Linked DNA regions of Oryctolagus cuniculus. The protein of the gene in region 3 interacts with the protein of the main gene of each other region in a pairwise test. Links are inferred from orthologs where the notes say so. Each region holds a gene or a part of one and is shown on either strand. Other genes may lie near its edges.

Evidence for each region.
Region 1: the proteins of PTPN9 (region 3) and MAL2 interact in binary tests that used the Homo sapiens proteins (3 or more experiments, as listed by UniProt). The two-hybrid records come from large-scale screens. The link is inferred for Oryctolagus cuniculus from reciprocal best matches to the Homo sapiens genes PTPN9 and MAL2.
Region 2: the proteins of PTPN9 (region 3) and AGTRAP interact in binary tests that used the Homo sapiens proteins (3 or more experiments, as listed by UniProt). The two-hybrid records come from large-scale screens. The link is inferred for Oryctolagus cuniculus from reciprocal best matches to the Homo sapiens genes PTPN9 and AGTRAP.
Region 4: the proteins of PTPN9 (region 3) and RTN3 interact in binary tests that used the Homo sapiens proteins (3 or more experiments, as listed by UniProt). The two-hybrid records come from large-scale screens. The link is inferred for Oryctolagus cuniculus from reciprocal best matches to the Homo sapiens genes PTPN9 and RTN3.
Region 5: the proteins of PTPN9 (region 3) and CREB3 interact in a two-hybrid assay, tested with the Homo sapiens proteins (2 studies listed by BioGRID and IntAct). The two-hybrid records come from large-scale screens. The link is inferred for Oryctolagus cuniculus from reciprocal best matches to the Homo sapiens genes PTPN9 and CREB3.

Annotation. Positions count from the first base shown.
Region 1 is NC_091437.1:145,008,526-145,012,812, reverse strand, and holds the start of MAL2 (protein MAL2), read right to left. Parts: upstream 2,807-4,287; 5' UTR 2,703-2,806; coding exon 2,574-2,702; intron 1-2,573. UniProt on the Homo sapiens protein: Member of the machinery of polarized transport. Required for the indirect transcytotic route at the step of the egress of the transcytosing cargo from perinuclear endosomes in order for it to travel to the apical surface via a raft-dependent pathway.
Region 2 is NC_091438.1:156,693,237-156,696,745, reverse strand, and holds part of AGTRAP (type-1 angiotensin II receptor-associated protein), read left to right. Parts: intron 1-1,139; coding exon 1,140-1,245; intron 1,246-1,978; coding exon 1,979-2,174; intron 2,175-3,509. UniProt on the Homo sapiens protein: Appears to be a negative regulator of type-1 angiotensin II receptor-mediated signaling by regulating receptor internalization as well as mechanism of receptor desensitization such as phosphorylation.
Region 3 is NC_091443.1:108,418,038-108,422,275, reverse strand, and holds the start of PTPN9 (tyrosine-protein phosphatase non-receptor type 9), read right to left. Parts: upstream 2,802-4,238; 5' UTR 1,940-2,801; coding exon 1,877-1,939; intron 1-1,876. UniProt on the Homo sapiens protein: Protein-tyrosine phosphatase that could participate in the transfer of hydrophobic ligands or in functions of the Golgi apparatus.
Region 4 is NC_091432.1:7,434,866-7,438,841, forward strand, and holds the end of RTN3 (reticulon-3), read right to left. Parts: intron 2,979-3,976; coding exon 2,920-2,978; intron 1,874-2,919; coding exon 1,828-1,873; 3' UTR 505-1,827; downstream 1-504. UniProt on the Homo sapiens protein: May be involved in membrane trafficking in the early secretory pathway. Inhibits BACE1 activity and amyloid precursor protein processing. May induce caspase-8 cascade and apoptosis.
Region 5 is NC_091432.1:198,639,753-198,643,873, reverse strand, and holds the start of CREB3 (cyclic AMP-responsive element-binding protein 3), read right to left. Parts: upstream 2,803-4,121; coding exon 2,365-2,802; exon of another isoform or gene 2,361-2,364; intron 2,264-2,360; coding exon 2,126-2,263; intron 2,029-2,125; coding exon 1,881-2,028; intron 1,805-1,880; coding exon 1,737-1,804; intron 1,618-1,736; coding exon 1,528-1,617; intron 1-1,527. UniProt on the Homo sapiens protein: Endoplasmic reticulum (ER)-bound sequence-specific transcription factor that directly binds DNA and activates transcription. Plays a role in the unfolded protein response (UPR), promoting cell survival versus ER stress-induced apoptotic cell death.

The DNA.
Region 1 (4,287 bases), on a different chromosome or scaffold from region 3:
GTCCATCATTGTGGCATAGAGACACTGCCATCCCATATGGATGCCAGTTCATGTCCTGGCTGCTCCACTTCTGATCCAGCTCCCAGCTAACACCCCTGGCAAAGCAGCAGAAGGTGTTCCAAGTGCTTGGGCCCCTGACACCCACGTGGGAGACACTGAAGAAACTCCTGGCTCCTTGCTTCGGCTTGGCCCAGCCCCAGCCCCAGCCATTATGGCCATCTGAGGAGTGAATCAATGGATGGAAGATCTTTCTCTCTCTCTCTATTTTTCTCTCTCTCTCTTTGTCTGTAACTCTGACTTTCATATAAAATAAATAAATCTTTTGAAAAAGAGATGTAAACCTATAAAATGTTTGGGCATAAAAAGTGAAAAACACTTTTTTAGTTTTTAAAACTAAAAACACATGTGGAAGTGATGCTGTTTTATCTAGTAAGTGTTCTAGACACATGTCAGGTAAGAAAACTGCAGTAACAGACAATAAAAAGGGTAGAACAGTAGAACAGATACTTTTGTGAGTCTGGGATCCCTTCTGTGATGTGCTAAAAGTTTTAATGGAGGAAGTTCACATTTGCAAGAAGAGCTGTGTTCTCTACATTCTTGATGGAGGACTCCATCAGTGATGCCAGGCCATGACTGTATATTAGAATCTCCGGGGAAACTTTCATTAAAGAAAAAAAATTGCTAATTCTGGGTGCTTCTCTAGGGATTTTGATTTAATTAGTCTGAACTGGCAACAGTAGTTTTAAAACTAGTCAAGTTATTAACTACAGTGAGAGTTGGGCACTAACTACTTGGCTAGATTTGAAAGGGAGAAAGAAAGAACAAAAAAGAGAGAAGAGAAAATTGAATAAGTCATCTTTCATCCCCTTTTCTCCTTAGAATTAGGTAGTGTTTCCAAAAGAGTGACATGGTCACAGATAGTGCTTGAGATGGTATTTGATTTGACATCATATGGAAAAGCCTTCATTGAATATATGTATCTTTACATATATATATATATGGAAATGTATACATGTTTGATAAATATTAGAAACACAGAGCAGCAAACCAAATTTAAGATTTCATATATATTATAACTTAGGATGAGCTCAAGAAAGTACTTAAGTTTAGAGAGTGAGTCTACTGAAGTGAACGTTCTGTAAATTCTGGTACAGGTAGAAAGAAATACTGCAAAAACTTCCGAAAGAGGTAGGAAAACACCTGGAGGTTGGGGAAAAGCAGCCCGGAACCTATCAAATCTGTCTCCCCAGACCACTCCTGTTCTCCGACAGCGTGCAGCCAGCCCAAAGCCATCATCTCTCTGCTTTTGTTAAATAGATGCCAGTGCCTCAGCTCAAGCATTCCGATGCTCCTGAACCCGGCTTCGACTCAACCCAGCCTCTCCGAGTCCCGCAGTCAGGATCCAGTTCCTGATGCCACAGATGCCACTTCTCTCAGATTCAAACCTTAGCTACATTTAATGTGGAGTGGTGTGACCACCTTTGTACAACACCATGAAAAACAAAACAAACAATGCTCACAGGGCATCGCAGCCTCGCAAGCGCAAAAGCGAAACCGAGATGACCCAAATGCAGGTTATGCAAACTCCAACCTGAGGGTGAAGGGAGAGACAAAAACCCCAAACCAAGCAAACAAAACCAGCCTGTGGAAAAGGCCTTACTTCGCTAACATTTCACTCTTTATTTGCCATTCTCAGGCATGATGCAACCTCCATTGCCCAATTTATATTTGCACATTCCCGCCTGTCCACAACCACCTTCAGAAGCTTCCAACTCCATAAAATTCCTTTTAAAAAGTTCAAGTGAATAGAGCAGGAAGAAAAAGCCAGGTGACTCCACCTTTCTTTGAGCCCCACAAAGTATGCTGAGGTTTGGATTCCTGTAGGAAGACAGGCAGGCCAAGAAGGACTTGACAACCACGCATCCATCTTTCCGCCACAGTTCTCACGCCCACTTGATGAAGAACTGCCAAGAGCGGCGTGCACACCTCACCCTTCTCCCTGCCCTGCCTCTGCTCCCTGTCCTTTCCCCAATCCAAAGGGCACCAATGATGGCAAGGGTGAGCGGGGGAGAAACCGTGCCCAGGTCATCAGCCCTCCTCCTCCTCCTCTCCCTGCCGGCTCTTGCCCTCGCTTTCCACATTGTGGAAGACTCCCGGTCACCCAGTCATCGCTTACACCTTTGCAGCACCCAACAAAATGGCAGGTTAGCAACAGGCGAGACTCAGATCCCTGGCTCCCATTCTAGCCAAGCCGGCCCCCTGCCAAGCCCAAACAGCCCTTTTCTCTCCAAGTCCCCAGTCCTCCGCCCCGCCCGTCCACCTGCGCCTCTCCCGAGGCCATTTCCGTGGCCGGCGGGGGAAACAGGTGCCGGCGTAACAGGTGCCAAGGCGAAAGGGCCCAGGCGCCCGCGCCAGGTATGCAGAGGACCACGGGAGGGGGTGCAGGGAAAGGCCTCGTCAAACAGGAGGCGGCCGAGGGCTGGCTCAAAGGTGGAGACCGGCGAGGCCGGACAAGGATGCCGCCGCCTGCCCTATCCCGCGGGCGCGACCCTGGCCGCCGCTGCCCCACTTACAATCTCCAGGCAGACGAAGGCACCCGAGTAGGTCCGCAGGATGGCGAGGCCGGCGGGCAGGGTGACTCGGGGTGCCGGGAAAGACACTGCGGGGTTCGGGGGCGGCGGGACTGGCCCTCCGGCCGACATGCTGCCGCTCCGCTGCTGCGTCTCCGCGCGCCGCCGCCGCCGGCTCCCGCCTCCGCCTCCCGGCGCAGCTCCGGTTCGCGGGGTCCGGGCGCGCGGAGCGGGAGGGGGCGTGGCCCTCCGCAAGCGAGGCCCCGCCCCGTCACGTGGGCCCAGGTGAGCGCACCTCCGCCCGGCGCCCGAGGCGGTCACATGCACAGGTGCGGCCGCCGCCTGGCACCCTCCTTGCTGCCCAGCTCTCCTTGCCCCTCCCACTCCGCGAGCTAGCGCCCAGTGCTTCCCGGAGTCTCCCAACACCCGTCCCCACGGCCCTGCTCTACTTTTTACCTTCTGTCGTTCTTAGTTTCCACCTGTTCTCACCTGGCTCCGCCTCCACTCCAGTCTCACAGCCCGGCTTCGCCCAGAATCCACAATTTGAGAGGAGAGCAGGTATTGGGGCTATGACTCAAGAGGCAAACTCGAGGTCATAAGTCACACCTGAGAAATGAAGGACCTGTGTTCTAGGACGGACCGAGTAGGGTCTTTGCTCCCGCACGGATTGGCTGTAGGTGAAGTTTGCAGGCACGGAGCCCTCCAGGGAAATGAGGATGAGGGCATTTACCACGCATAGATGTGCACATCAGATGGCACAGCGGGCAAGGGGAAAGAACTTGGCACATAGTAAACGCTTCTCGAATGGTAGCTGCGTAGGACAGCAGGTACATGATGCTGCCTGGAAGATTGTATTTTCCACATAGAAATTTAATCCTTAATTTCACCTGTATGAAGCTGACTTCTTTCCTTTTTAACATTTAAAGAGACATAAAAATGTATTTGAGAGACAGAGCAAAAGAAGGGGAGAGAGCGAGAAAGAGGGAGAGGAGAGAGGATGAGAAAGAGAGAGAGAAAGAAAGAAACACTCCCGCCTGCTGGTTCACTACCCAAATGCCTTCAACGACGAGGGCAGGGAACAAGGAACCAGCCCCATAAACGCCATCTGGGTTTTCCCACATCAGGCGCAAGCACCTGATTACTTGAGCCTTTATGCTGACCCCCAGGGAGGGGAAGCTGAAATCAAAAGTGGAGCTGGAACTGAACCCAGAAACTCTGACATGTGATGCAAGGGTCCCTAGTAGGATCTTAATTGCTGCTCCAAATTCCTGCCCCAAAACTCTTTGAAGGTTTTTTTTTTTTTTTTTTAAAGCATTCTATGTGTGGTTTAGATCTCCTGCCAGATGTATCTCCATTTTATTCCTGGTTTTAATGTCCACACTTTGTAAGTGAAACAAAGCAGATGAAACAAAGCAGCTGAAGATCAACAAAGCTGCACACAGCAACACATACATATTGTTTAATTTGGAAAAAATATTAGTGGACATGGTCAGACATTTTCCAGACTGGATCTTACTCTTGTCTTTCAGGTTTAGCCTTTGAGGAACTGTGGTTATCTCTGTACACTACTCAGCAAGTTGTAGTTACCTCATTATTTTAATAATCGAAACTCATAGGTGTGGTGGTGGCATCGGGTAAAAGCCACAAAGCAGGGTGTGGGTGAAACCTTTCTTTATACCTCCTATCATCTCTCCCTCTTAGTCATTACTTTCTGAGA
Region 2 (3,509 bases), on a different chromosome or scaffold from region 3:
CTGACCTCCTCTCTGGTGCCAGTTCGAGTCCTGGCTGCTCCACTTCTCTTCCAGCTCCTTGCTAATGGCCTGGGAAGGCAGTAGAAGATGGCCCAAGTCCTTGGGCCTCTGCACCCATGTGGGAGACCCAGAAGAAGCTCCTGGCTTCAGATCGGCCTGGCTGCAGCAGTTGTGGCCATTTGAGGAGTGAACTAGTGGATGGAAGACCTCTCTCTCTCTCTCTCTCTCTCTGCCTCTCTCTCTCTCTAATTCTTCATTTCAAATAAATTTAAAAATCTTAAAAAAAAAAAAGAGGCACCCTGCCGCACATGAGGCCGCGTCGTGGGCACGGTGAGAGGGCAGGCCAGCCCGGACCGCGCTGCCTGGGTCTTGCATGCAGCCGAGCAGAGGGGCAGGAACACGGCTGTAAGCCGACTCTTCAAGCCCAGCCCTGCCGCTCGGCAGCTGTGCGAGCCCTGGCGAGTTGCTCAGCTTCCCTGTGCCTCCGTTCCCTCATCCCCAAGACGAGGGTAAGAAGAGTGCCCGCCTCCCAGAGCTGTCACTGACGCAGAGCACGGAGGCGGGTGACGCTGACGCACTCGGGACTGTTGCAGACAGCAGCCGGTGCCCTGTGAGCTGGCCGGCTCTCACTGAGTTGACAGCAGTGTGGTGGAGCCACGCCCTGAAAACTGAACCGGGCAGGCACGTGCTGAGAGGCAGCGAGGAGGGTGGGGAGGGGAGGGGTCTCGGAGTTAGCATCTGAGCTGAGACTGACAGGACCAGAGGGGCGCGTGCTCAGAGGCCGAGCTGTTTTATTCCCGACAGAAAACCAGTGGAGAATTTTTAGCAGGGCACTGACCTGTCTCATTGCCGATACTGTTGCTATTTCGAGAACAGACTGCAGGGGGCAGGAGTGGGAGCAGGGAGACTAGTGTGGGGTGGCCTTGGCCTTGGCCGTGGCCACTGGTGCTCGGGCGAGGATGGGACCATGTGACCGGATTCAGGATCTAGGGGGCAGGTAGAGACGGTGCCAGCGGCCTCGCAGACTGCACGGCTTCTCAGGAGGCCTGGGACCCTGTGCAGGAGGGAGGGGCTGCAGGAGGGGCGGGCGCCTGCCGGGTGGGGGCCCCCTGACCTGACCAAGGTGCCTCTTCCTGCAGGGGCTGCATCGTGTTCTCAGGATCCTACGCCTGGGCCAACTTCACCGTCCTGGCCTTGGGCGTGTGGGCCGTGGCCCAGCGGGACTCCATTGACGCCATAAGCATGGTGAGCCTGGGCCGAGCCGGGGCCCTGCCGTGTTTCCCTCGCCCAGCCAGTCTGCTCCCTCCGCCTCGGGCCCCATTGTGCACGGGTGCAGCCTCGGAACTGAGCCTCCTGGGCTACCAGCCCGCCTGGCCTTCACTGGCCTGGCCCGCTCTGAGAACGCAGGTCTGCTCTTGCGGGCCCCAGGGAGGACGCGGGCTCCACGTGGCACCCCAGAGTGCCTGCTGTCCCCAGCAGTCGCTCATGACCCTGGGACCTGCCTCTGGGGCTCTCAGGAGGGATGTGGCCACAAGGGAAGCCCACTGCTTCGTGACATCGGCGACACAGCTCTGCTGATGGTGTGGGGCTCCCAGCACGTGCTGTGCCGGGAGGTGGTGAGCGCCCAGCAGGAGACTCTTCAGGCTGAGGCCGTGGCCTCTCAGGGTGATCAGGAAGGGAGTTTCTTTGTGGTGGAGACAGATGGGTTGGATTGCAGGGGGCCTCCGATTTGGAGGCTCTGGAACCAAGCCTGGTCCCCATCACGGCGCCAGGGGTGACGGGGAGGTGGGCAGGGCTGGGGCTGTGATGGTGCCAGCAGCCTGGGTCCAGCCCTGGGCCCTGGCATCCCCACTGGAGCCCCTCCGCAGGGGTCTGCCAGCAGGTCCTCAGCACCCGGCCAGGCGCGCGCTGCCGCAGTGGGGTGGCAGCAGGGGTACCGGGGGCGGGGCGGGCTGTCACAGGATGGCGTGTCTTGCAGTTTCTGGGTGGCTTGCTGGCCACCGTCGTCCTGGACATAATCCACCTCGGCGTCTTCTACCCGCGGTCCGGCCTCTCGGACACCAGCCGCTTCGGGGCTGGCATGGCCATCCTCAGCCTGCTCCTCAAGCCCGTCTCCTGCTACCTCGTCTACCACATGTACCAGGAGCGCGGCGGGGAGCACCTCTTCCACTCAGGTGAGGACGCCGCCCCGGCCGCTCGGTCTCCCCATCCCGGGAAGGGCAGGCACGCGACCCTTGCCAGCTGTCAGCCTGAGGCCGAGCTGGGGTGTGGCTCACTTCCCGGGGGCAGCTCTGGGCAGTCTGCGGCCTGAGGCCCGCCCTCGGTGCCCACCTGCTCCTGGCCCTGGCCCCCCTCTCCGGCACATGGGGACTCCCCGGTCCTGTGCAGAGCCCATGCTGGGTGGGCTGGGAGCGTCAGCAAAGACACCACGGCCCCGCCCAGCCCCACGCTTGCCCACGCCTGCGCTCTCAGAACCGGTCTCCCTTCTCATGGTGCTGAGCCAGTGTTCCTGCCCTCTTGATACATGACCTCACTTCCTCCCCCTCCCCTGAGAAGTGGGGAGTGGTGGGGTGTAGGCGTCTACTTTCTACTCCTGGGAACAGAGGCCTGAGTTTCCCATGATTGACCTGGGAGAGCAGCTGGGGCCCCTACCCTGGCAACCTCAGCAGTGCCTGCACCTGCCCCAGGGTGGAATGCCCGCCCATTGCACAGATGAATAAACTGAGGCCCACAGACTGGGACTTGTTCAGGATCCCAGGACAAATGTGCAGGGTGCTTGGAGGCCCACCACCCTGCCAGGGACCTGGCTCACGTCCTCTGGGCATGGCCACTGTGCAAGAATCCAGATATGGATATCTCTCCTGGATATGGTATTGCGATGTCCTGTGGCTGGCATCCGTGGGCCGGGGTCCTGAGCGCTGCTGGGAAGCATGTTCCCCGGGCCCTGCTGCCACGCTTTGAGCCAGGCTGTGTGACCTCGGCAGGGCTCTGACCCCTTGAGCCTCGGTGTCCTCACCTGCAAAGGGAGGGCGATGAAAGTACCTGCCCCGTGGGCTCATGGGGGGATTGAACAGTGCACCGTGGAGACACGGGGGGATTGAACAGTGCCCCGTGGACTCATGGGGGGATTGAACAGTGCCCCGTGGGCTCATGGGGGGGTTGAACAGTGCCCCGTGGGCTCATGGGGGGGTTGAACAGTGCCCCGTGGGCTCATGGGGGGGTTGAACAGTGCCCCGTGGACTCATGGGAGGATTGAACAGTGCCCCGTGGGCTCATGGAGGGGTTGAACAGTGCCCCGTGGACTCATGGGGGGATTGAACAGTGCCCCATGGGCTCATGGGAGGATTGAACAGTGCCCTGTGGACTCATGGGAGGATTGAACAGTGCCCCGTGTAGACACGGGGGGATTGAACAGTGCCCCGTGGGCTCATGGGGAGATTGAACAGTGCCCCGTGGAGACACGGGGGGATTGAACAGTGCCCCGTGGGCTCATGGGGGGATTGAACAGT
Region 3 (4,238 bases):
GCCACGAGAGGAAGCTGATGCTTTAAAGAGATCCTCAGGAAGGTGTGAGGATGAGCAGGGGCCAGGGCACAGCAAAGTGTCCAAGACTGCTGGGTTTCTGCAGCCTCACTGTGTAACAGGAGGCACCAACCAGGAGGATCTGCCCCAGAAGCTTCCGGAAGGCAGCGCACACACCCCAAAGGGGCCTGCAAGCACATTACTTTTGCCTGAAAATGTGTTTAGTCTCCACCTTACTTACAAAACAGGATTCCCAAAGAGCTTCTTGCTATTTCCAAAACTCGAATTGACTCTCAAAAGGACAAGGATTTTCCAACACCAAGATATTTTGAAGACGCTGCGGAAGCTGTGAAATCAACCCAAATGAGTTCTGAAATGGTTTGAGCAATGCGTTGGGCAGCATCATGGAATGAAAGTGCCATTTCCCACGACCATCCCTTCATAAGACTCACACACAGTTACTGCTGCTTGCAGACTTTAAAGAAACAGTAACAGTTAAGACTACTCTTAGAGGACATCATATTAAAATAGAAGAGCAAGTATTACTGTAATTAGAACTATGTTTCTTTTATGTTTATTTCAACGTTTTGAAAGACCTGTAGAACATTAAGCATTTTGTAAGACGGGGGGAAAAAAAGAATCTGATGAAAACCTTTTGTGAATATTTCAATATTTATTTTCTCCAGTGTTAATTTTTTAATTTATAATCTATACCATTGTCATACAGACCTGATGCCTTTGAGTTTCATAAACAGAGAAATTTCAAATCTGACAGAGCTGAGGGAGGAGGACAAGGGAAGACGCTGGTGTCTGGAATACCCAGCCAGCCCACCACACCTTAGTACGGACGCCTTCGCCCAGCAGGGGACACCTGCCCACCTCCCTCTGAATGGCGTCCAACTGCAGCGACCAGGCCCCTGGGCTTGTACCAAGCCGAATTATTTTTATTTTTTTTTTAATTTTATTTTTTCCCTGCATGCTTATTTTATCTCACAGCACCAAAAGGCAAAACTGGGTCTGCGACCAAATGTGGAAAATGCCATGTCCACAAATGCGGAGTTAAAGTCAGGGGCTGTTGAATAAGCCCCCTGAGCCAACATCGCTTTGTAAAACCAGGCTGCCCACACCCGGGGGCCTGGCCAGCTGGAAATGGGTCACCCACGTGGTCCACCTTGTCCTTTCTCCCCGTTTTTTCCTTATTTTATCACTTAAAAAAAAACACACACACACACACACACACGGGGAGTCAGCCAGCGGCTCTGTGTGAGCATAGCGGGGGCTGAGCACGGGCCACGCCGAGGGAGATGGAGAAGCCCTGGGCCCCGCCGCGGCGGGCACACGCAGGGGTCCACGGAGGGGTCCACACGGAGGGGTCCACGTCCCCGCGGCCACGGCGCGGGGTTGGGAAAGCTCCCGGGGCCCTGGGCTCGTCCCTTCCCCAACCGCCCCCCCCCCCAATGACACCGCAAACCACTTCCTCCAGGGAACTGAAGGTCACAGCGGTTAGGGACAATGGAGCCCAATGCAAGCTTCCGAAAGATGGAGACGCGCAGGAGAGGTGGGGCAGGCAAGCGGGGCTGGGGGGCTGCGCCCAGCCCGGGCGGCCGGGCCGCCGAGGCCTGCCAGCAAGCCTGGGGCAGCCCTGTCCCCAGCGCCATCTCCACCCTCCCGGGGAACCCCACAAGCCCTGACCAGGGCAAACGGCGCGACACCTACGGCGGGCGCAGGGGCCGGGGCGGCAGGCGGGAGGCGCCCGCTGCGACTGCGGCGAGGCCCGCAGCCCCAGGCCCGCAGGCCCCGGGCCCGGGAGCGGCTGCAGGAGGCAGCGGCCGGCGCAGGCCCCGGGGCCGGACACACCCACCGCGGCGGCCCGCCTTACCTGCTCCTCCTCCGGGGTCAGCTCCGGCGCCATGTCGGGCCGGGGCGCGGCCGCGGGCTCCATCCCGCAGCCGCCGCCGCCGCCTCCCGGCGGACTGGAGTGGCCCGGCGCGCTCGGCCTCCGCTTCCGCTTCCCCGCGCCTCAGCAGCCCGAGGCCGGCTCGCGCATGGCCGGGCGGCGGGGCCCTGCGCCCGCGGCCGCTCCCTGGAGGAAAACCTCTCGGGGCGCCCGCTCGCGTCTGCGGGGAAGACCCTGCTCCTTTTCTTCGCTGCCTCCCTCACTCTCCCGAGGGGAGAAGGCGCAGGCGAGCGGGCGAGCAGACGCCCGGCATCAAAAGAGGAAATGGCAGATCAAGAGCTCGCGGAGGCCGCTGGCCTGCGGGGCCTCGCTGCTGGCCGCGCCGCCGGGCGTCCCCGGGGATGCGGGCCCTGCGCCCCGCGCGGCCGCCTCCCGGCCCGGTTCCTCAAAAGCGGCGGCGGCGAGAGGGAGGGCGCGAGGGGGCGGCGTCCCCCGCCCGGCTCACGGCCGCGCCGCGCCCGCCCGAGCCCCCCGCGGCTCCATTGAGAAAGTGAGCGTCTCATTCACGAGCCGGCGGCGCGGAGGCCCGGGAGCCAGGGCGCCGGCCGGGAGGGGGAGGCGAGGAGCCGGGGAGGGAGGGGCCCGGCGGCCGGAGGCGGCTCCGAGCGCGGGGAGCGCGAGCGGGTGCGTTTCTCCGGGAAACGTCCTCTCGGGCTAACTTCCCGCTGCCGCCTCCGTGCGGGGCGCCAGTCCTCCGGGCCCCACCCCGTCTTTCCTTGTGCCCCTCACCCCTAAACTGACTGCGAGGCTACACCCTGAACCCTCAGAGACAGGGAGAGATGGGGAGGGGAGGGAGGAGAGAGCCTGGGAGAGACGGAGAGGGGGATGAGACAGGGAGAGACGGGGGGAGGGAAGGGAGGAGAGATGGGGAGGGAAGGAGGGAGAGCCAGGGAGAGACGGAGAGGGGAGGGGAAGGAGGGAGGGGGGAGGGGAGGAAGGAGAGAGACAGAGACGGGGAGGGGAGGGAGGAGAGATGGGGAGGGAAGGAGGGAGAGCCTTGGAGGGATGGGGAGGGAAGGGAGGAGAGACGGAAAGACGAGGGGTAGGAGGGAGAGGGGGGAGGGGAGGAAGGAGAGAGACTGGGAACTGGGAGAGACAGGGAGGGGAAGGAGGGAGAGGGGGGAGAGAGAGCCAGGGAGAGATGGGGAGGGGAGGGAGGAGAGCCAGGGAGAGACGGGGAGGGGAGGGAGGAGAGATGGGGAGGGAAGGAGGGAGAGACAGGGAGGGGAGGGAGGAGAGACAGGGAGAGATGGGGGAGGGAAGGGAGGAGAGATGGGGAGGGAAGGGAGGAGATGGGGAGGAGAGGGAGGAGAGAGACAGGAAGAGATGGGGAGGGAAGGGAGGAGAGACGGGGAGGGGAGGGGTAGGAGGGAGAGGGGGGAGGGGAGGAAGGAGAGAGACTGGGAACTGGGAGAGACAGGGAGGGGAGAGAGAGGGGGGAGAGAGAGCCAGGGAGAGATGGGAGGGAAGGAGGGAGAGACGGGGAGGGGAGGGAGGAGATGGAGAGGAGAGGGAGAAGAGAGACAGGAAGAGATGGGGAGGGGAAGAAGGAGAGAAACAGGGAGAGAGGGGGAGGGGAGGAAGGAGAGAGGAGGGAGGAGATGGAGAGGGGAGGGAGGAGAAGGAGAGAGGAGGGAGGAGATGGAGAGGGGAGGGAGGAGATGGGGAGGGGAGGGAGGAGTGGGGAGGGGAGGGAGGAGTGGGGAGGGGAGGGATGGGGAGGGGAGGGAGGAAGAAACAGAGACATGGAGGTGGCAGCAGCAAGTTAGCTCGGGAAGTCACCTGCTGGCGACAACACCCAAAGGTGGGGTTCTCAGCCAGCTGAAGAGGCTGAGTCTGGGTTCTGCCGCCCCCACCCCAGGCTTTGGGAAGCAGCCCAGGGCAGGGAGCAGTGCTGCTGGGCTCTGTTGGTGTCCAGGCGCAGGTCCTCACCCACCCAGGAGTTAATTTCTGTGCTGCACCCAGACTCTGCGGGAAGATGTTATTTACATTTATATGCCAGGCCCTGGGCTAGGCACTGCAGACACCAGAGTGAACAGTCCTTATAAGCATATGGACTGAGGTATCATGGACTGAGAAGAGGGCTTGGTGGGCGTAATATGCTGTCCTTCGAATGAAGAAAAAATGAAATGCATGCACCCACAAAGGCACATGTGCACGGAGCCTTCGGAAGGAAGAACACTCAGGAATGGCAACAGGGTGGCGGGGGGGGGGGGTGAGAGCTGGGAACAGAAGCGAAAGGGGAGACCCCTCCCCACACGGGCTTTCCTGTGTTCTGTTTCTT
Region 4 (3,976 bases), on a different chromosome or scaffold from region 3:
TCACATCAATTTGCAGTTTTACAGGAACCAAGAGTCAAGCTCCGTAGGTGCTACTGTATTCGTATGTTGCACGCACAGACACGCACAGTTTCATTAGTAATGTTTTCATCTATAGGTTTTTCTTTAAAAAAAAATCCTGCGTGGCACAAAGATCTCTCCAATTATCTAAAGACAGCAGCAACAGAAGACAAGCTGGGTCTGGAGGCGTCCAGTGCAGAGGTCCTTTGGGGGGGGCCCAAAAGACAATCAGTGCATCGACTTCCTGGGAGGCAGAGGATGACGGAGTGCATCTCCCACTGCGATGTGAAATCAAACAATCACAAGGAGAGGGGACTGAGAAAAGAAAGTGGAGTAAGGCAAGGGTACCTCTCACCCATCTAAATTCCTAAGCAAATTTCCCCAAAAACTGTAGACAAGACAGCTTCCTGCCACCATCGCACATGGCAGCCCTTACTTGGTTGGAAGTTCTCAGTGCCCCTGCGTGGCCGTGACTGAAGGGGCTCGCGGATGACTTTTCTTTCAAGTTCACAGATGTCTCATGGGGAAGGGGAGGAAGAAACTTAGTCTCAAAGCGGAGCCAAACCTTCCTAGTTGCCCTGCACCTGATGTTCCTTCCATGCGCACAGCCCCACAACACGCGCTACCCCCTGCCTGGTCACCTTCACCTAGAACTTCCTGGAAAACTCCCCGCAGGGACACCCTGGGCCAGGGCAGAGCTGAGGCACTTTGTGCCTGCAAATGGAAAGAACCCTCAAAACACAGACCCATAAAGCCAGCACAAAGCACTTACAACTCCCTAAGACCATGAACTGCACTTCCCTACACTGATCTGTGGTCATGTGGCACGGCTTGGCTTTGGTCCTCAGGCGAAACTGATGAACACAGGTTAAAGATGCAGCACGTGATGAAGCAAGTCACAAGGGAAACACAAAGAAACAAGGCTGTTTGTGTCTCTGTAGGTCACCTTGTGAGGCCATTCCCCCCACGGACTGAGACAGGGTCACAATAACTCGGTAACTGGGGAGCCCACATGCAGGTTATTTTTTCTCTAACAAGTTTACAGCAGTGTACAGCAGTTACAGACATTTATTTCATAATAAGAAAAGTACAACCATATTTATTAAAGAGGGGAGGTGGGCAGGGAAGAGGGGAGCACACCCAGGAATGAGTTCTCACATCACTGCCCAGAACTGGCGACACGCAGACACCCCTCCCAGACGGCGGAGCCCTCCTGCCCCTAGGACAAGTCTACTTTCCACTTCCACTCTGGGAATCAGGAATTCTCGCGAGCCCGTTAGGTTATCCAGAGTTGGAAGCTGTTCCATTAAGCGAAGAAGAGGACTGTTAGCAATAGCTGCTCACTTTGGAGGGCGGGAGGATGGGATCGCAGGGCTCTGGGGAACCCCAGGGAAGGCATCCCACTCCTGTCCTCAGATAGCTTCTTCATGTGTTAATCATTGCTTCTTAACTTAAAAACAAGGGCAGAGCTACAGCGGAGCTGCAGGAGTCGCTCGGTCCTTCGCCCCGCCTTCACTGCCCACCTGTCCCCTGCCGAGCTGCAGGGCAACGGTCCTCCACCACTAAGGTACTGATCCATCCCACTAATCTGAGTCTTTCCTTATTCCTCTAAGATATCAGTTCTTCTAGTCCAACATTTCTTGTGCTTGATACTAAGGGCAAAGGGAAGGGAAGGGAGAAAACACCAAATTAAAAAACAAAGCTTGGAATGCAGGCTCACGCTGGCACTGAGCACGCGCCTTCACAAGTCAGGACGTTATAACTAGGAAGTGGGGTTTAGTAACTGTTGCATTTCTGGCTTCCACGTGCTTATTCTGCCTTTTTCTTGGCAATTCCGGGGAGCTTTGCTTGGATCCTATTGAGAAAAGAAAAGTACAACGGAAGTGAAAAATTTGTCCCAAGTTTCAGTTTCAACAGGGGTGCTAGAAGAGGTGCGGGCTCCGTGGGGAAGTCTCCTGTCTTCACAGGGAGCAGGGTGTGAGTGGCGGCCGAGTCTGGCGTAGGGCGAGCTTGGGGTGGGAGGAAGGTCTGGAAAGATCCACCCCACCCCTGTCCCTTTCACACCAGGGGTCCGCAGAAAAATGTGGGGACTTGAACACAGTGTTCCATGTCCACAGGTCACCCTCTGGTGCTGGCGAGGAACCAGAAGTCAGGGTCAAGGAGACAGGTGAGGAGGCCATGGGTCCTGGTTTTGGGTGCTCCCAACTGCAGGAGCTGCCCCCCGCCCCTGGCAGGGTACCAAAGCTGCCCATTGCTCTGGCGAAGGTGTCACTCCGGTCACCCGCTGCTAAGGTCACAAGTATCACACCCGCGGCAGAGGACCCACGGCAGCTGACCCTGGCGACCAAACCATCACGCCCCAACCACCTCTTACAAACCAAACCACCAGATGGGGACTGGTGCTGCAGCCAGCCTGGCGTTAGCACCAGTGCAGTCTGGCATCAAGTCAGACTTCTCTGGATGCACAGTTTCCTCCTGAAAAGTTGTGAAAGTAACTTAGGGCACAGAGAGGTTTTAACTCTTTGTGACTCTGTTTCTTACTATCTGAAGAAAACAGAAAAATGTTAGCATTTTAATTTGAAGTGTTGGGTTCACATTTATTTGTTGTGAATAATTTAAGACAAAAAGGATACTCCTCGATGTAAGCAGTCACGGAGGTGGGGAAACCACCAGCTGTTCAAAAAGGCAGCGTGGTCTTCATTCCACTGCTCCTTTGTAATCTGAGACACAGCATGTTTTTTAAAGTGGTGAAAATAATTTCTTACTAAATCAAGCTATTAACCAAGGTTTTCTTCAGGGTGAAGGTACCTTTCTTTGTAAGCAGCATTTTATACAGAGGACTATGCACCACTGAAGAACAAAGCACAATGGCGATGACATGAGATCCCTAAACGTACTCACTTGTCAACGATCGACTTGGTCTGGTCCCGAGCGATGCCGACATAGTGATCGATCTGGGTCTGTAAGGAGAAGAGCAGAGTCAGTCGTGGCAACACAGAGGTGAGCAATTTTCCTGAAGGCACTGTTGTTCCCTAGTTTAACCACTCTTTAAATACTACTGCGTATGCTGGGAGGGGAGAATGATGCCCAGAAATTTAAAAATTTCTCGTTTCAGGGGCTGAAGTTGTCTGTGTCCCATATCAGAGGGCCTGGGTTTTTTGGGTAAAGCCAACAACTGCGATGCTGGCATGAATCCCAGCTGCTCCGTTTCTGATCCAGCTCCCTGCTGATATGCTTGGGAAAGCAGCAGAAGATGGGCCAAGTACTTGAGCCCCTGTACCCATGTGGGAGACCCAGATGAAGCTCCTGGATCCTGTCTGAGTGGCTGAGCCAGGCCACTGCAGCCATTTAGGGAGTGAACCAGTGGGTGGAGGATCTCTTTGTCTTTCCTGCTCTCTGTAACTCTTTCAAATGAATGAATGAATGAATGAATGAATAAAATAAATAAGTCTTTAGAACACAGAGTGCCTGGGTTTAATGTCTGGCTCTGGGTCTGGCCTCTAGCGTTCCTGTGCACGCAGACTGTGAGGCAGTGGTGATGGCTCAGGTGGAGGGATCCCACCACCAACGTGGGCTACCTGGATTGAGTTCCCTGCTCCTGGTTTCAGCCCTGCCCAACCCTGGCCACTGGGGTAATACTGGGCATAGGATGGTCATCAGATGGAAGCACTTTCTCAAAAAAAAAAATAAGCAAACAACAAAGAAAAAAACTTTTTGGTTTCAGACTTGAAATTATGCCACATTTTGCTGAAGTAAAAATCACTTATCTCATGCAGAGGTAAGACACTGGTGTAGACCATTTTCTATATACAAGAAACTGTAAATCTAATCTACATTCTGTAATCATACATGTTTTACTACCCCATGGGTAAGGCAAATACATTTTAACATCAAAAAGCCAAAAATAAGGGCCAAAGTTGTAGTGTAACGTAGGTCAGGCTGCTGCTTGTGATGTCTG
Region 5 (4,121 bases), on a different chromosome or scaffold from region 3:
AATCCCTTGTCTAGCCTCCCTAACCAGTAGCCATTTTGGTTTCCATCAGAATGCCTCTAAAGACCAGGTGTTAAGATCACAGGTGCCAGAGCATTTTTAACAATTTCATTCACTGAAAAATTTCTTACCCTGAATTAACATCTGCCTCCATGTAATTTCTATCCATTGAACTTATCTCTGGGGTCGTGTAGAACAAAATTCTACATAGCTGTTTTAAGGCTGTTGGCATTTCCTCAGAGTTTAAAAAAACACACACACAAAAAAACCCTGGACAGACTTCTTAACCCAACATTTCACCATCACTGCATCCTCTTGGTATCTGTCAAAGATACAGGCCCAAAACTGGGCACTTAAAATGCACTGTGATTTGTACAAAAGACAGCAAGACAGTCTTGCCTTTTTAGAGACAATGCATGTATTGACGCTGCTTCCACATCCCACTTGCTTTGCCATATCTCACTGCTGACTCATCTTGTACTTTTAAGAAGTTAAAATTTCTTTAATAAGTACTTATTTTATTACAGGGTCACAATACTGTGCTTGTGAAGTCACCACCCAGTGTTGAAACTTAAAACTTATGCTTCTACATTTGTACTGTTAGAAGGCTTAGTCCAGGCCGGCGCCGTGGCTCACTAGGCTAATCCTCCACCTTGCGGCGCCGGCACGCCGGGTTCTAGTCCCAGTCGGGGCGCCGGATTCTGTCCCGGTTGCCCCTCTTCCAGGCCAGCTCTCTGCTATGGCCTGCAGCTCTCTGCAGTGGAGGCTGGCCCAAGTGCTTGGGCCCTGCACCCCATGGGAGACCAGGAGAAGCACCTGGCTCCTGGCTTCAGATCAGCGCAGTGCACCAGCCCCAGCAGCCATTGGAGGGTGAACCAACAGCAAAAGGAAGACCTTTCTCTCTGTCTCTCTCTTTCACTGTCCATTCTGCCTGTCAAAAAAAAAAAAAAAAAAAAAAAGAAGGCTTAATCCAGCCTCATTGAACTCCCTAAAACAATTCTCCCATTCAGCGCGATGTAGATTACCACCAAGCCGATGAACTCCAAGTGGCAGAGCCCTTCCCTTGCACAGTCCTGCCCAAGGCCCTACGCTAATGTTGCATTGATAATTCTGAAATCTTTTTTCTTAGAACACCAAAATGTGTTAGAAGCCTCACAAAACCAGGATCCACCCTTGCATCTAGCATATTAACCAACAACTCTGCTAAGATGTTCACCTCTTAAGTGTATCTTATTTTTGACACTGATATTACACACATCTATAGGATACAGAGTGACATTTAAGTAATGTATACAATGTAAAAATAAGTAGGGCAGGGTAACTGGCACATGTATCACTGCAGACATTTATCATTTCTTTGAATCAGAAACTGAATATCCTCTCTGCTAGCTATTTTGAAATGCAGCTGCTACCAAGCATAACGTTAGAAGTGACTCCTATCTGACTGCATTCCGGTACAGGTCGACCAGCCTCTCTGCACTCTCCCTCCCCTACACCCTCCAGCCTTTGCCCCACCAATGGGAGCCTTACCTTGGTGAGAGGAAGCGTTCCAGGCAGAGTAAGCCCCTCCTTCTCCAGTAGCCTCTTCTCCTCCTCGGTCAGTACCAGCCTAGCAACCTCCTGAGGTTACGGGGAAGTAGGCAGCAGTTGCATGGGGATGTCCGAAAGAAATGGGAATTCCCGCCCCGCCCCGCCCCGTGCAATGTGGGGATAAGCCTCCTGAAAATCAAGTCAGCTACCTGCTCTGTTGGCTCCTCCACATACAGCGGAGTCATCGGAGCCTCCTCCTTCCCATAGCTCCCACTATCTGCAAAAGGGCAATTGTGACTAGCCGGGCCCACGGACCCTCTCCTCTAGCTCCCAACTTTTCTGATGTCACTCACCTACGTCCACGGAGACATGCTCCTGTGGGAGGGAGTAAGTGTGATCGTGGTGCACAGGCGAGGGCTCGCAGGAGCTGAGGTCGGCCAACGACGCCGGGGGACTCAGCAGGGTGCTCAGCAGATCCTCTGCCTCCCAGTCGCTCAGTACCTGCACCGGGTTCAAATTCCCAGGCCCTGGCCTGTCACTGACACCCGGGTCTCGCGGACGTGCCGCGCCTCCCTGACGCGGAGCCCTACCCACCCACCTCGGAAAGCGGCAGCTCCCAATCCGGGGGCGCCTCCACCGACTCATCGGCTGCCTCCCCCCATGCTCCGCTCTGCTCGAGCAGGAAGCCGAGCAGGTCCTGATCGCCAGGGTCCAACGCCAGCTCCATCTGCGACATCTACGGCAGAAACTCAAGGGTTCACTTCGCAGCCCGGTTCCAATACGCGAGCCCCAGGCACGACCCCCAGCCCAACCGCCGGGTCTCTCCCGCCTACCCACCGCTCCTCTTCGGCTGGCCTTCCCCGCTGCCGGGGCGGCAGTCGCTGTCAAGCCCGACCCACCCACCCGCCGGACTCCGTCGCCCTCGGCCTCCAACACAGCACAAGTGACGCACGCGGCCCCGCGGCCTCTCGGGACTTGTAGTTCCCTCCGAGCCGGAAGTGGCTCGGGTGCTGCGCCACGTCCCGGGGGCGATGCAAATGAGGGGGACGTCCCCGCCCCGGGGGCGGGGACACCGGCGACTCGCCTCCGCCTTCGCCCCGAGCTAGAAAAAAGGAAGAGTCCGAGTGTAACAGGGAACTCGGGCGCCGCTGGGGTGTTTTCTCCGGATTGCGCCGCGCCCTGGCTTCCTGCCGGGGAGGGGCTGCCAGTCTTCGGCGGGCTCGCGAGCATCGAGAGCTGGGGCCAGAGCAGCTTCCTGCAGGTCCCCAAAACCATAGAGCGCGGGCCCAGGGCGCCGCCCGGGGGTGGGGGACGCGCCGGGGACGGAAGTGGCCGAGTGTGGCGAAGGGAGGGCGAGGCCGGAGCCGGAGAGCGGGCCCGGAGGACGAGCAGGGCCGGCGGGCGGGGCGCAGAGCCGGGCAGCGCAGGTAGGCCGCGGCGGGCCGGGCCGGAACCTCGGGGTGGGGCCGCGAGGTCTGGCCCGGGAGGCGGGCGGGCGCGGCCCCTGACTGCGGCGCGTCTATGGCGGGTTCTGGGGGAGACGTCAGCTTCCAGGGTGTCTCGGCAGGCCGATCTGCGGGAGGTGGCTCCTCTGCGGGAGCAGTCCTTGGCCTGGAATAGGTTTTGGGGAAGGGTGAGGAGTGTGGCGGCCGCGGGGCGCAGGGCGGGGATGGGCTTTGGTGTTTGCTGATAGCGGGGATGTTGGGCTGGAGAGCTGTGGATGAGTCTGGGTTTAGGTGGGGTTGGGTTTGGGAATCAAGGGTCTCTTTAGGAGGTGTAAGGCCGGGGTTAACGCTTGAGTTATTGGCGTGATTTAGATCCGTTTTATAAATAAGTGAGGTTGAGGTTGAGGTCGTTATTTTGTTTCCTGGGATGACCAGAGGTAAGTCAGAGTTAAAAGAGTTCAGGGTCAGGTTAATGGTCAACAACAGGAATTAGGTTAGAAGTCCATTTTAAGGATCATAGGATATTGTCGTGGTCAGTTTTAAGGATAAACAGTGAAAAGGTGAGTTAGGAATCAAGTTACAGGTGAGCTAATTTAGACTTAGGGGTCAACATTTTGGGTTAAAGTCAGCAGATTTGGTGCTAACGGTAAAAATTAGTTGAGCCTTAGGGATCAAGGATTGGATGCTTGCTGGTCTCTGCTAGGAGGGGGATTCTATGAGAATGAGGAAACAAATTAGGGCACTAAGGGCAGACCCAGGCCAGGAATATTGACCTTGGGCAGATAACATTTAAGAGGTCGGCAATAGATCGATGCCTTTGGTGTGTGTGTGTGTGTGTGTGTGTGAGAGAAAGAGAGAGTGGGGGGGAGGGAAGTCCCCTCATTTTTATTTAGTCACAGGAGCTTCTTTCAGCCAGAGAGATGACACATTTTGGGTTGGGGTTCTGGACTTCAGGTAGAATTTCCTCGATTCCTCTCTAAGCTCAATGCTGTTGCTGTGGCCACCACAGTTACGGGGCAGGGATTGCTGGACTGTGTTCTGTATGAGATGGGAGGTGGGCAATGGCCAGGGACCCAGGCAGTGGGGACCACCCAGGGAGGAGGAGAGCAGTGGCTAAGGGGGAAGCCGACCAGGGGCCACCGTTGTGTG